3 linked regions of the Saccharomyces cerevisiae S288C genome follow. Changing the gene in region 3 together with the main gene of any one other region gives a genetic interaction. Each region holds a gene or a part of one and is shown on either strand. Other genes may lie near its edges.

What was found. Genes that interact genetically often act in the same process or in processes that back each other up.
Region 1: mutations in BCS1 (region 3) and CTA1 together harm fitness more than expected from each alone (negative genetic interaction), as found in Saccharomyces cerevisiae (2 studies listed by BioGRID).
Region 2: mutations in BCS1 (region 3) and GID11 impair growth when combined (synthetic growth defect), as found in Saccharomyces cerevisiae (2 studies listed by BioGRID, with this or other methods).

Annotation. Positions count from the first base shown.
Region 1 is NC_001136.10:967,633-971,617, reverse strand, and holds CTA1 (catalase A), read left to right. Parts: upstream 1-1,937; coding exon 1,938-3,485; downstream 3,486-3,985. Other genes in the region: RKM4 (ribosomal lysine N-methyltransferase), read left to right, coding at 144-1,628; ubiquitin-protein ligase RMD5, read left to right, coding at 3,796-3,985. UniProt on the Saccharomyces cerevisiae protein: Catalyzes the degradation of hydrogen peroxide (H(2)O(2)) generated by peroxisomal oxidases to water and oxygen, thereby protecting cells from the toxic effects of hydrogen peroxide.
Region 2 is NC_001144.5:437,131-441,392, forward strand, and holds GID11 (Gid11p), read right to left. Parts: upstream 2,694-4,262; coding exon 501-2,693; downstream 1-500. Other genes in the region: tethering complex subunit PEP3, read left to right, coding at 1-267; STM1 (Stm1p), read left to right, coding at 3,337-4,158.
Region 3 is NC_001136.10:1,224,555-1,228,257, reverse strand, and holds BCS1 (bifunctional AAA family ATPase chaperone/translocase BCS1), read left to right. Parts: upstream 1-1,721; coding exon 1,722-3,092; downstream 3,093-3,703. Other genes in the region: ARH1 (NADPH-adrenodoxin reductase), read right to left, coding at 1-1,436; WIP1 (Wip1p), read right to left, coding at 3,232-3,501.

The sequences.
Region 1 (3,985 bases), 260 kb from region 3:
ATGTAATCTTCGAGAGTTACTGCGGGTAATACACACATGTGTCACATATTTTTCTCTCGAGTATGAAAAAATTTCATTACCTTTGTAAAAGCTTAATACGATCATTTCAATATGACTAGTAATAAAGGGGAAAGTTTGCGAAAATGGATGATTTTTCAAGAGATACCGAAAACTTTGTTTGCTGGTTAAAAACTACCGCTGAAATTGAAGTATCCCCTAAGATAGAAATCAAAGATCTTTGTTGTGATAATCAAGGCCGCGCAGTAGTTGCCACTCAAAAGATTAAGAAGGATGAAACATTGTTTAAAATACCTCGTAGTTCTGTTTTAAGCGTTACAACATCTCAACTGATAAAGGATTATCCTTCTCTCAAGGATAAGTTCCTGAACGAAACCGGATCGTGGGAAGGTTTAATTATCTGTATACTTTATGAGATGGAAGTTTTGCAAGAAAGAAGCCGATGGGCGCCTTACTTTAAAGTTTGGAACAAACCAAGCGATATGAACGCGTTAATTTTTTGGGATGATAATGAACTGCAACTTTTAAAACCATCACTTGTCCTTGAAAGAATAGGAAAAAAGGAAGCCAAAGAGATGCATGAAAGAATTATTAAATCAATCAAACAAATTGGTGGAGAATTTTCACGTGTAGCGACGTCCTTCGAGTTTGATAATTTTGCCTATATTGCAAGCATTATATTGAGTTACTCCTTTGATTTGGAAATGCAAGATAGTAGTGTAAATGAAAATGAAGAAGAAGAAACCAGTGAAGAAGAACTTGAAAATGAGCGCTACTTGAAATCGATGATTCCACTTGCTGATATGTTGAATGCAGATACCAGTAAATGCAACGCTAATTTAACTTACGACTCTAACTGTTTAAAGATGGTTGCTTTGAGGGATATTGAAAAGAATGAACAAGTGTACAACATATACGGAGAACATCCAAATTCGGAACTACTAAGAAGATATGGGTATGTTGAATGGGACGGTTCGAAGTATGATTTTGGAGAAGTGTTACTTGAAAATATTGTCGAGGCGTTAAAAGAGACTTTTGAGACGAATACTGAATTTTTGGACAGGTGTATTGATATCTTACGCAATAACGCCAATATTCAAGAATTCTTAGAAGGTGAAGAAATAGTACTAGATTCATATGATTGTTATAATAATGGTGAATTGTTGCCTCAACTAATACTTTTGGTCCAAATCTTGACAATTCTTTGCCAAATTCCAGGTTTATGCAAACTGGACATAAAAGCAATGGAAAGGCAAGTGGAGAGAATTGTAAAGAAGTGTTTACAATTGATAGAAGGTGCCCGCGCCACTACAAACTGTAGTGCCACATGGAAACGTTGTATTATGAAGCGTCTAGCCGATTACCCCATAAAAAAGTGCGTTTCTATCGAAAAACCTTCGAAAGGAAACTCATTAACAAGGGAAGAACTAAGAGATGTTATGGCTCGGAGAGTTTTGAAAAGCGAAATAGATTCGCTGCAAGTTTGTGAAGAAACCATCGACAAGAATTACAAGGTTATTCCTGATGAAAAGCTGCTAACTAATATTTTAAAGAGAAAGTTGACAGAGGAAGAAAAAAGCTCTGTCAAACGTCCTTGCGTGAAGAAGTGAGCGGTTGTTCTAACCACTATTTAAAGCCGCAATTAGTAATGCAAAAAGTTGGCCGGAATTAGCCGCGCAAGTTGGTGGGGTCCCTTAATCCGAAAAAGGACGGCTTTAACAAATATAAACTCCGAAAATCCCCACAGTGACAGAATTGGAGAAACAACCAGTTTTGATATCGCCATACATATAAAGAGATGTAGAAAGCATTCTTCACTGTAATGTCCAAATCGTACATTTGAATTTCTTGTAGGTTTATTTAAAAGGTAAGTTAAATAAATATAATAGTACTTACAAATAAATTTGGAACCCTAGAAGATGTCGAAATTGGGACAAGAAAAAAATGAAGTAAATTACTCTGATGTAAGAGAGGATAGAGTTGTGACAAACTCCACTGGTAATCCAATCAATGAACCATTTGTCACCCAACGTATTGGGGAACATGGCCCTTTGCTTTTGCAAGATTATAACTTAATTGATTCTTTGGCTCATTTCAACAGGGAAAATATTCCTCAAAGGAATCCACATGCTCATGGTTCTGGTGCCTTCGGCTATTTTGAAGTAACCGATGACATTACTGATATCTGCGGGTCTGCTATGTTTAGTAAAATTGGGAAAAGAACGAAATGTCTAACAAGATTTTCGACTGTGGGTGGTGATAAAGGTAGTGCCGACACGGTTCGTGATCCAAGGGGGTTTGCCACCAAATTCTACACTGAAGAAGGTAATTTAGATTGGGTCTACAATAATACACCGGTATTCTTTATCAGAGACCCTTCCAAGTTCCCTCACTTTATCCACACACAGAAGAGAAACCCACAAACCAACCTAAGGGATGCTGACATGTTTTGGGATTTCCTCACCACTCCTGAAAATCAGGTGGCCATTCATCAAGTAATGATCCTTTTTTCAGACCGTGGTACCCCTGCCAACTACCGTAGTATGCATGGTTATTCTGGTCATACCTATAAATGGTCCAATAAAAACGGAGATTGGCATTATGTGCAAGTTCATATCAAAACCGATCAAGGAATAAAGAATTTGACCATAGAAGAGGCTACCAAAATTGCGGGATCCAATCCAGATTACTGCCAGCAGGATTTATTTGAGGCTATTCAGAATGGAAACTATCCTTCCTGGACAGTTTATATTCAAACAATGACCGAACGCGATGCCAAAAAATTACCATTTTCAGTCTTTGATTTGACTAAAGTATGGCCTCAGGGGCAATTCCCTTTACGGCGTGTGGGTAAGATTGTTTTGAACGAGAATCCACTGAACTTCTTCGCACAGGTGGAACAAGCTGCCTTCGCCCCCAGTACCACGGTTCCTTACCAAGAAGCAAGCGCTGATCCAGTATTACAGGCCCGTTTGTTTTCATATGCGGATGCTCATAGATACAGGCTAGGTCCTAACTTCCATCAAATACCCGTAAACTGTCCATATGCATCTAAATTTTTCAATCCCGCTATCAGAGATGGACCGATGAATGTTAACGGCAACTTCGGCTCAGAACCTACATATTTGGCCAACGATAAATCGTACACGTATATCCAACAGGACAGACCCATTCAACAACACCAAGAGGTATGGAATGGGCCAGCTATCCCTTATCATTGGGCAACATCCCCAGGTGATGTAGATTTCGTGCAAGCAAGAAATCTCTACCGCGTTTTGGGTAAACAACCTGGACAGCAAAAGAACTTGGCATATAACATCGGCATTCATGTAGAAGGCGCCTGTCCTCAAATACAGCAGCGCGTTTATGATATGTTTGCTCGTGTTGATAAGGGACTATCTGAGGCAATTAAAAAAGTAGCTGAGGCAAAACATGCTTCTGAGCTTTCGAGTAACTCCAAATTTTGAAACGCTCAAGTAACAAATGAGTGGCGTTGTTTCCACGACAATTATTTATGATAGTGTGTATTTTTAACACATTTTATTTATTACAATTTATGTATTTTGTTATGAATTATTTATTTATACGACTAATAGGTGATGCTCATATTCTCGTGTTAGAAAGTTAAAAAAATTATCATTTCACACATAGGAAAGCTCGTCGCGCCGGGGAAAAAGCTGAGGAATCTCTATTATTAGGGGTAAAGTTCAACACATTCAGTATGAGATAAGTGTGTCTTCAAGAGAGATGCAGCACTGAGTAGGGAACCAAGAAACGATGTCTGAATTACTAGATAGCTTTGAGACAGAGTTTGCGAAATTTTATACCGACAGCAATCTGGAAGAGACAAACCTTCAAAAATGTCTTGATCATACTCATGAATTCAAGAGTCAATTAAAGAAGTTGAAAGCGCACTTAAACAAGCATATTCAGGAATCAAAACCAGAAGTCTATAATAAGCTGAGTG
Region 2 (4,262 bases), on a different chromosome or scaffold from region 3:
AAATTTCTACAGATCAAAAAGTTCATTGTTTTCCCCTGTGGCCACTGTTTTCACTGGAACTGTATAATCAGGGTAATACTGAACTCAAATGATTATAACTTGAGGCAGAAGACGGAAAACTTCTTAAAGGCCAAAAGTAAGCATAATTTGAATGATTTAGAAAATATCATTGTAGAGAAATGTGGATTGTGCAGTGATATCAACATCAATAAAATTGATCAGCCAATATCTATTGATGAAACAGAATTAGCCAAATGGAATGAATAGTAGTATTCTTTTTTAGTCAGGCTGAAACACTGAAATTAAAAGAGGGAAGATAAATATCATTACTATTATCTGACTAAAATATGTGTCGAGTATTTACTTACCTAAATAGCCAAGAAGTAAAAAAAATGCGTATCAAAAATGAATAAAACGTAAAATTATCGGGGAAAAACCTTGTATTTTCAAAGAGTAATAAAACGGGTGAATTAAAATCACAATATATGTATGGCTGAAGTTCAACATAAGTCATAACTAGAGAAACTTCTTCTTGCCCATGAGTTAATATTCCACCTCATAATTCCGTAATCTGTACCAATAATCAAGGAGCTCCCATTCCTATCTTCAACCCAATCGATACCTGATATATTGTTTTCTTCTGAGAATTCGTTACTTTCCTGAGTTGTAATCACTGGTCTTCTCAAAAAATTGGATGTGCCTCTATTATTCCTACTATTTGCAGCAAAATTGTCATCATCTGACGGTAAGTCTGGCGTTGAAGGTGGTCTGAGAAAACTTTCAAAAGCTCTTGCGGAAACACCATGATAGTCTGAAGAAACACGATACGTTGAGTGAACATCATTGTAAGCTTCATAATATTCATCATCTTCAAAAACATCATTACTAGCTTGCTGGTGAGAAAGTATTAAGGGGTCAATTAAATTTTGAGGTGCGGAATTTGACGACGAAGTTGCGATAGAATCAGCAGCAGGTGTGCCAAGACTTGCGTTAACATTGTTATTAGAATAATCGGCGGTTGGTGCCGAAGTCGATACTCTCCTTACCCTGAATGAACATCGTCTCTTGTATGGATGAGCTACGTCACTTGATGAACTACCTTTCGTAGAAAACAGAACCGATTCGTTACTAATTTTATCCATAACTTTCGGAAAAGGTAGAATTTGCGGCTCCAAATACTTTTTTGGGATTCTTTGAGCCATAGTTATCCATGGTTCTGTGGTTACATTTGGCATAGAGGGCAGCGAAAATCTTCTTCTTGATAAAGACCGATAATCCGCCCCTTGTAATTCATTTTTGCTATCATTACTTTCGTTTTCGTTGTTATTATTTGTGGTGAAATTATGATTTGTATTATGCTTCCGTTCGTTTATATATTCCATATTAACTTTATCAGGAATAACAATAACTTGGTGGTTAACGTAGTTTCTTGTATCTACAACGTGTACTCTGCCCTGATGTTCAGAAATGAATAATAAATCATCTAGGCCATAACTGAACCTACAGACTCTAAATGCACCGTTGTGGGAATGTGGTCTAGTCGAACTAATTTCTGCCATGGGAGTAGCCATGTTTCTGATATCATAAATTGCGCAAGTACCATTTTGAAATACCGTCGCAAATTGCAAGTCGTTTTCGGAAAAAGAGTTATAAAACCCATGGTCTGAATTTGGAGCTTCATATATGTTTTCGATATATTCTGATTCATCAGGTAACGCAAACCGTGGTATCCGTCTAACACGATTGACAGAACTACCCCAGGAAGGATGATTATCGTAATGTAAGGAGAATTGGTTGGTTAATTCATTTTGATTGTAAACAGCAAATTTATTAGAATCGCCAGACACTACCATCGTTTGACCATCATGTGACAAAGAAGCGTTATTCAAAGGAAATTTTAAATCCGCATAACGCTTCACTAGTGTTACATCTCTATTACTTACATCGCATTGGTAAAGATGACCATCATTGTTGCATGCAAAAAGATCAAACTGCATACTGGCCCTGTCATAAAGTGTGACACAATTATTGATGAACTGGCCCAACGTAAAAGTCATCATTGTGTCCGTTTCTTGATTATAAAACTCCACGATGCCCTTCCAGATATTAGGATTTGAATAATGTGAATTTATAGGGAAACTAATATTTTTGGAAATATTAATCGGTTGGGAAGGTGGCGGCAACGAAATATTTGCATCTTGAGCTAAACGGTTCCAATTAGAAGGGAATCCCTTATCATCAGAACCGATTAGACCACCACAAACAGTCAACCCATTTAATTCCGTGAAACATCTCGGCTTAAAGTTGAACTCTACCAGTTTCTCGGAAGGAACATGTAAATTTTTGGAGATATACGAGCCCGTTGTCCTAGAACCTTTTGTAGACGTTTTTTCAGTAGAGTTTTTACCACTGTTACTCGGTTGAATAGAATTATGTCGCCTTACTGGAGACCTCAATACGGAAGAATCCGTATCTAGTACTCTTATCGAATGATCGTAAATATAATACAGTTTACTCTGGTTCATGGAGCCTGGTTTGATACAATCCCGCAACTGCCAATGGTTTATGGAGACCTTGGCATCGTAGAGTTCTAAAGCAGGCATCATATAGTTTTGGTAAACCTTATCAGAGCCAGTATTTAACCGTTCATCTTGCAGCGCCTCCTTAGATTGCCCCGTGCCATCAATGGTCATTCTTTAACACGTATACTTTTGTAACTTATTGCTGTTTTTCTACCACTTTATTCGATCTTACTTGTCGTTGCTTAATCAGCAAAAGTTTTGTACTAGAATAAAGTTGTAATAGGCTTTTAATCCAGAGTCTCCTCCTCCTCACTTTCTGATCATCACCCCTTATTGCCTCAGAAAAGAGATCATACTCCGCTTTAAAGCCGTTCAATGTCACGTGACACAAAGTTGTAGCCGTATAACATATGGCGCTACCATGTTGTTATTTAGACGGGTAACATCACCGTTTAGAAAGATAAAGGAAAGTGAAATTATTGGAATGGAAAGTGTTCCCAAAAGTTCGCACCAACGCAAAAAGAAATTTTTTTTTCAATTTTGATATCATCGTTGCGTAGAGGAAGCCCTAACTGAGTAGAGAAATTATATGGTATTTTCCTTGTAATATTTGATTTTGAGTCGATATCCCCTTTGTTCTTCTTCCTTCCTTCGCTTGTTTTAGTTGTATACTTGGTTTATTGTGGAAGATTTTTTTTTCTGCTTCGTAGTTTTAAATTAGAAGTTATTTCTTTGCAAATTTCTCTTCCCCCCACAGTATTCTTTTAGAGGTGAAGTAGAAATAAACCAAGAAAGCATACACATTTTATTCTCAATGTCCAACCCATTTGATTTGTTAGGTAACGACGTCGAAGACGCTGACGTTGTCGTTTTGCCACCAAAGGAAATCGTCAAGAGCAACACTTCCTCCAAGAAGGCTGACGTCCCACCTCCATCCGCTGACCCATCCAAGGCTAGAAAGAACAGACCAAGACCTTCTGGTAACGAGGGTGCTATCAGAGACAAGACCGCTGGTAGAAGAAACAACAGATCAAAGGATGTCACTGACTCTGCCACCACCAAGAAGTCCAACACCAGAAGGGCCACTGACCGCCACTCTAGAACTGGTAAGACTGACACCAAGAAGAAGGTTAACCAAGGTTGGGGTGATGACAAGAAGGAATTGAGTGCTGAAAAGGAAGCTCAAGCCGATGCTGCTGCTGAAATTGCTGAAGACGCTGCAGAAGCTGAAGACGCTGGTAAGCCAAAGACCGCTCAATTGTCTTTGCAAGACTACTTGAACCAACAAGCTAACAACCAGTTCAACAAGGTCCCAGAAGCTAAGAAGGTTGAATTAGACGCTGAAAGAATTGAAACTGCTGAAAAGGAAGCTTACGTTCCAGCAACCAAGGTCAAGAACGTCAAATCTAAGCAATTGAAGACCAAGGAGTACTTGGAATTTGATGCCACTTTTGTTGAATCTAACACTAGAAAGAACTTCGGTGACAGAAACAACAACAGCAGAAACAACTTCAACAACCGTCGTGGTGGTAGAGGCGCTAGAAAGGGTAACAACACTGCTAACGCTACTAACTCTGCTAACACCGTTCAAAAGAACCGTAACATTGACGTTTCTAACTTGCCATCTTTGGCTTAAGCCTTATATATGAATAATTCCAACTGAAAGAATCCAATAACAGTGTTCTACTTTCTGTTTCTATTACTATTATTATTTTAATTGGTTATTTACTATATAATTTG
Region 3 (3,703 bases):
TTTGACCGAGTTTTGTGTTCCTTTTTGCCCCGAAGCAATTCCTTCTTGTTGATTCTTTCCCAATCCTTCCATGTGGTGTGCTTGATATTAGAGAGGTCGATAGAATTCTCTAAGGATAGCGCTCCGCTGACCACCAAGTCTTGTATTACTCTGTCTCCAACTTCAAAAGCATCTTGCATTGTCGAGGCAATAACGCCCTGGCTGCCCTTACGGATCCAACCAGATGCATATAAATGTGGGAATATTTCTCCGCTGGAAGTTAAAACACGACCCTGTTTATTAGCTATATGATCTTTGTCAAATCCAATAGACAACTTAGAGAATTCAGGCATGGGAACGCCTGCATATCCCAATGAAGTAATCAGCAAATCCACTTTATATGTCATAATATTATTGACGTCCTTCAAGGGTTGCAAACTGTTATCTTCATTTAATCGATTGTTACATAAACTCAAAGAGTTGATTGCACCAAAATCGTCTCTATTAATTTTCAAGGGAGTCTTCAAATAATCTAACTCCCAGAATTTGTCATATCCGCTGCTTGGAGGAGGAGCCTTTTTATAGTTTTTCTTCGAACGTTCATTAAATGGCTTGAGATACTCACTACACATCTCTACTCGTCTATTGAATGCACGATCGTACTTAGATGGGTCAAACATTTCTTTCTGGAAAAATTTAGGATCAATACGGCCACGTATGCCATACTTTTCTAACTCCCATAGTTCTCTTAATTCTTTGTTGGTGAATTTGGAATGAACGAAATCCCTTCGTGCAATTAGCTTAACGTCCTTTACAGGTGCCCTTCTTAGCAAATTTAGTGCAAGAGATGAGATGTCCGTATTTTCCCATATTTCATCAATTTGATTAGAAATAAGTACACGCGTAATATCAAGAGCAACGTTACCGTTTCCTATAATACCAACTTTCGAAACTTTGCTCCAGTCAAAATCGGTAAATCGCTTATCCTTTGCGAAATCAGGATGACCATTGTACCAATTGACAAATTCTCTACTGCTAAACACCCCTTTTGTTCCGAGTTCGCCAGGGATATTCAGCTTTCTGTCCCCTGTACAACCATAACTTAAAATAACAGCATCTTGATTATCCAGCAATTCCTTCAACAATATTTCTTTTCCAATGGTTATACCACCAACAAAGGAAAATTTATGCTTTTGGTTTGTAGGGGAAGAAAACTCTTCTGCACATGTGGTAAACGTTTCTTCACAATTTTTGACTTCTGGATGATCAGGTGCCACACCATATCTACTTAAACCAAAAGGAACAGGTAACTTTTCCCATATAGTAACATTTAATGGAATCGGTGACTTCTTGAGTAAATGGTACGCTGTATAAAAGCCGGAAGGCCCCGATCCAACAATGGATACAGTCTTACGGTTTATTTGTGAAGAAATGTGCCTTATTTGAACAAAGCTCATTTTCACAAGTAATGAGCTAAAAAAGGAAGAAGAAAGAGTGAGAAACTTTCTAAATGAATGAATGAGGCGTTGTGGCCAAGAACTATAGCAAGCAAAAAACTTTCTGTTACGTTCGAGCTATAGTTTACTGCTCTTCGAATTATATCTCGATTGAGTTACCCTTAAAGAGTGCCGAAAAATCGATGTAAATAGTATAAGTAAAGATTTCCACTCTTCTATATTTGCAACGCAGTAGACGTACCAAGGGACGATTTGAAAAAAAATGAAGTGTGCCCTCAATCTACCATGTCGGATAAGCCGATTGACATACAATATGATAAACAGGCTACTCCAAATCTGAGTGGTGTAATTACTCCGCCAACAAATGAAACTGGTAATGACTCAGTCCGGGAAAAACTTTCAAAACTAGTTGGCGATGCTATGTCAAACAATCCCTATTTTGCCGCCGGCGGTGGTCTTATGATCCTTGGTACAGGTTTAGCTGTAGCTAGATCCGGTATAATAAAAGCCAGCAGGGTCCTATACCGACAAATGATTGTCGACTTAGAGATTCAGTCGAAGGACAAATCATACGCCTGGTTTCTAACATGGATGGCCAAACATCCTCAAAGGGTATCTAGACACTTATCCGTTAGGACAAACTACATACAACATGACAATGGATCAGTTAGTACAAAATTTTCGCTGGTTCCGGGTCCGGGAAATCATTGGATTCGTTATAAGGGTGCTTTTATCCTGATTAAAAGAGAAAGGTCCGCAAAAATGATAGATATCGCAAACGGGTCACCATTTGAGACCGTAACCTTAACTACACTGTACCGTGACAAACATTTGTTCGATGACATTTTGAACGAGGCTAAAGACATAGCCCTGAAGACTACTGAGGGCAAGACTGTTATTTACACTTCTTTCGGCCCTGAATGGAGAAAGTTTGGTCAACCAAAAGCTAAAAGGATGCTGCCCTCCGTCATTTTGGACAGTGGCATCAAAGAGGGTATTCTCGATGACGTTTATGATTTTATGAAGAACGGCAAATGGTACTCTGACAGGGGTATCCCATATCGCAGGGGATATTTACTCTATGGCCCTCCCGGATCTGGTAAGACTAGCTTTATCCAGGCTTTAGCGGGCGAATTAGACTACAACATTTGTATTTTAAACCTCTCCGAAAATAATTTAACAGATGACAGATTAAACCACTTAATGAATAACATGCCAGAAAGGAGCATACTATTACTGGAAGATATTGACGCGGCGTTCAACAAAAGAAGTCAAACTGGTGAACAAGGTTTTCATTCTAGCGTAACATTTAGCGGTTTACTGAATGCCCTGGATGGCGTCACATCTTCTGAAGAAACTATTACATTCATGACTACCAATCATCCTGAAAAGCTAGACGCGGCTATAATGAGACCAGGTCGTATTGACTACAAAGTCTTCGTTGGTAACGCAACTCCATACCAGGTAGAAAAAATGTTTATGAAATTTTACCCAGGTGAGACTGATATATGCAAAAAGTTTGTAAATAGTGTTAAAGAATTGGATATCACCGTAAGTACCGCCCAGTTGCAAGGACTTTTCGTTATGAATAAAGATGCACCACACGATGCGTTGAAAATGGTCTCCAGCTTACGGAACGCTAATCATATTTTCTAGGTGCTAAGTGGCGCCTTACTACATAACTTGTATATAATAAAAATTCAGAAGATGCTTTAACTTTTTCTCGTTAATAAGACCGAGTTATTTGCTATTACGAACAAAAGAGTATATGATAAAGAGGCTTAAAAATACCCCTTCATTGACTATCCAGAAAAGCCTGCGTTGCAGCTTCAATATGATAAGGATATACTTCCCTCAAACCTTCTGCAGTTGCCCTTGTTCTAGCATCCAGCAGAATTTTTCTTAAAATGGCCTGAAATCCACATGCCAATAATAATTTCTTGTTATATTCTTGACTAGACTCTTGATCTTCATTTTGCCGTTGGAGAAGATCTTCTAGCTTATTCTCCTCCGCATCTAAACTAAGCTGCCGTAGCAAATAATTGGCCAATGCTTCCGTATCCATGGAAGAATGTTAGGAACTGTTGCTATTGTTGTACTTTGGTTATACGACAGTAAGTAACGTTGACTTGGTGACCGAAAATAGACACGAAATCGCTACCCGTTTCCCCAGAATATCACTCCTCACGATGTACCTCGGCGGCTAATCTTTTTGGTAGCCTTTTGTGATATATATATAAATAAATAAGTATACATACATATATATA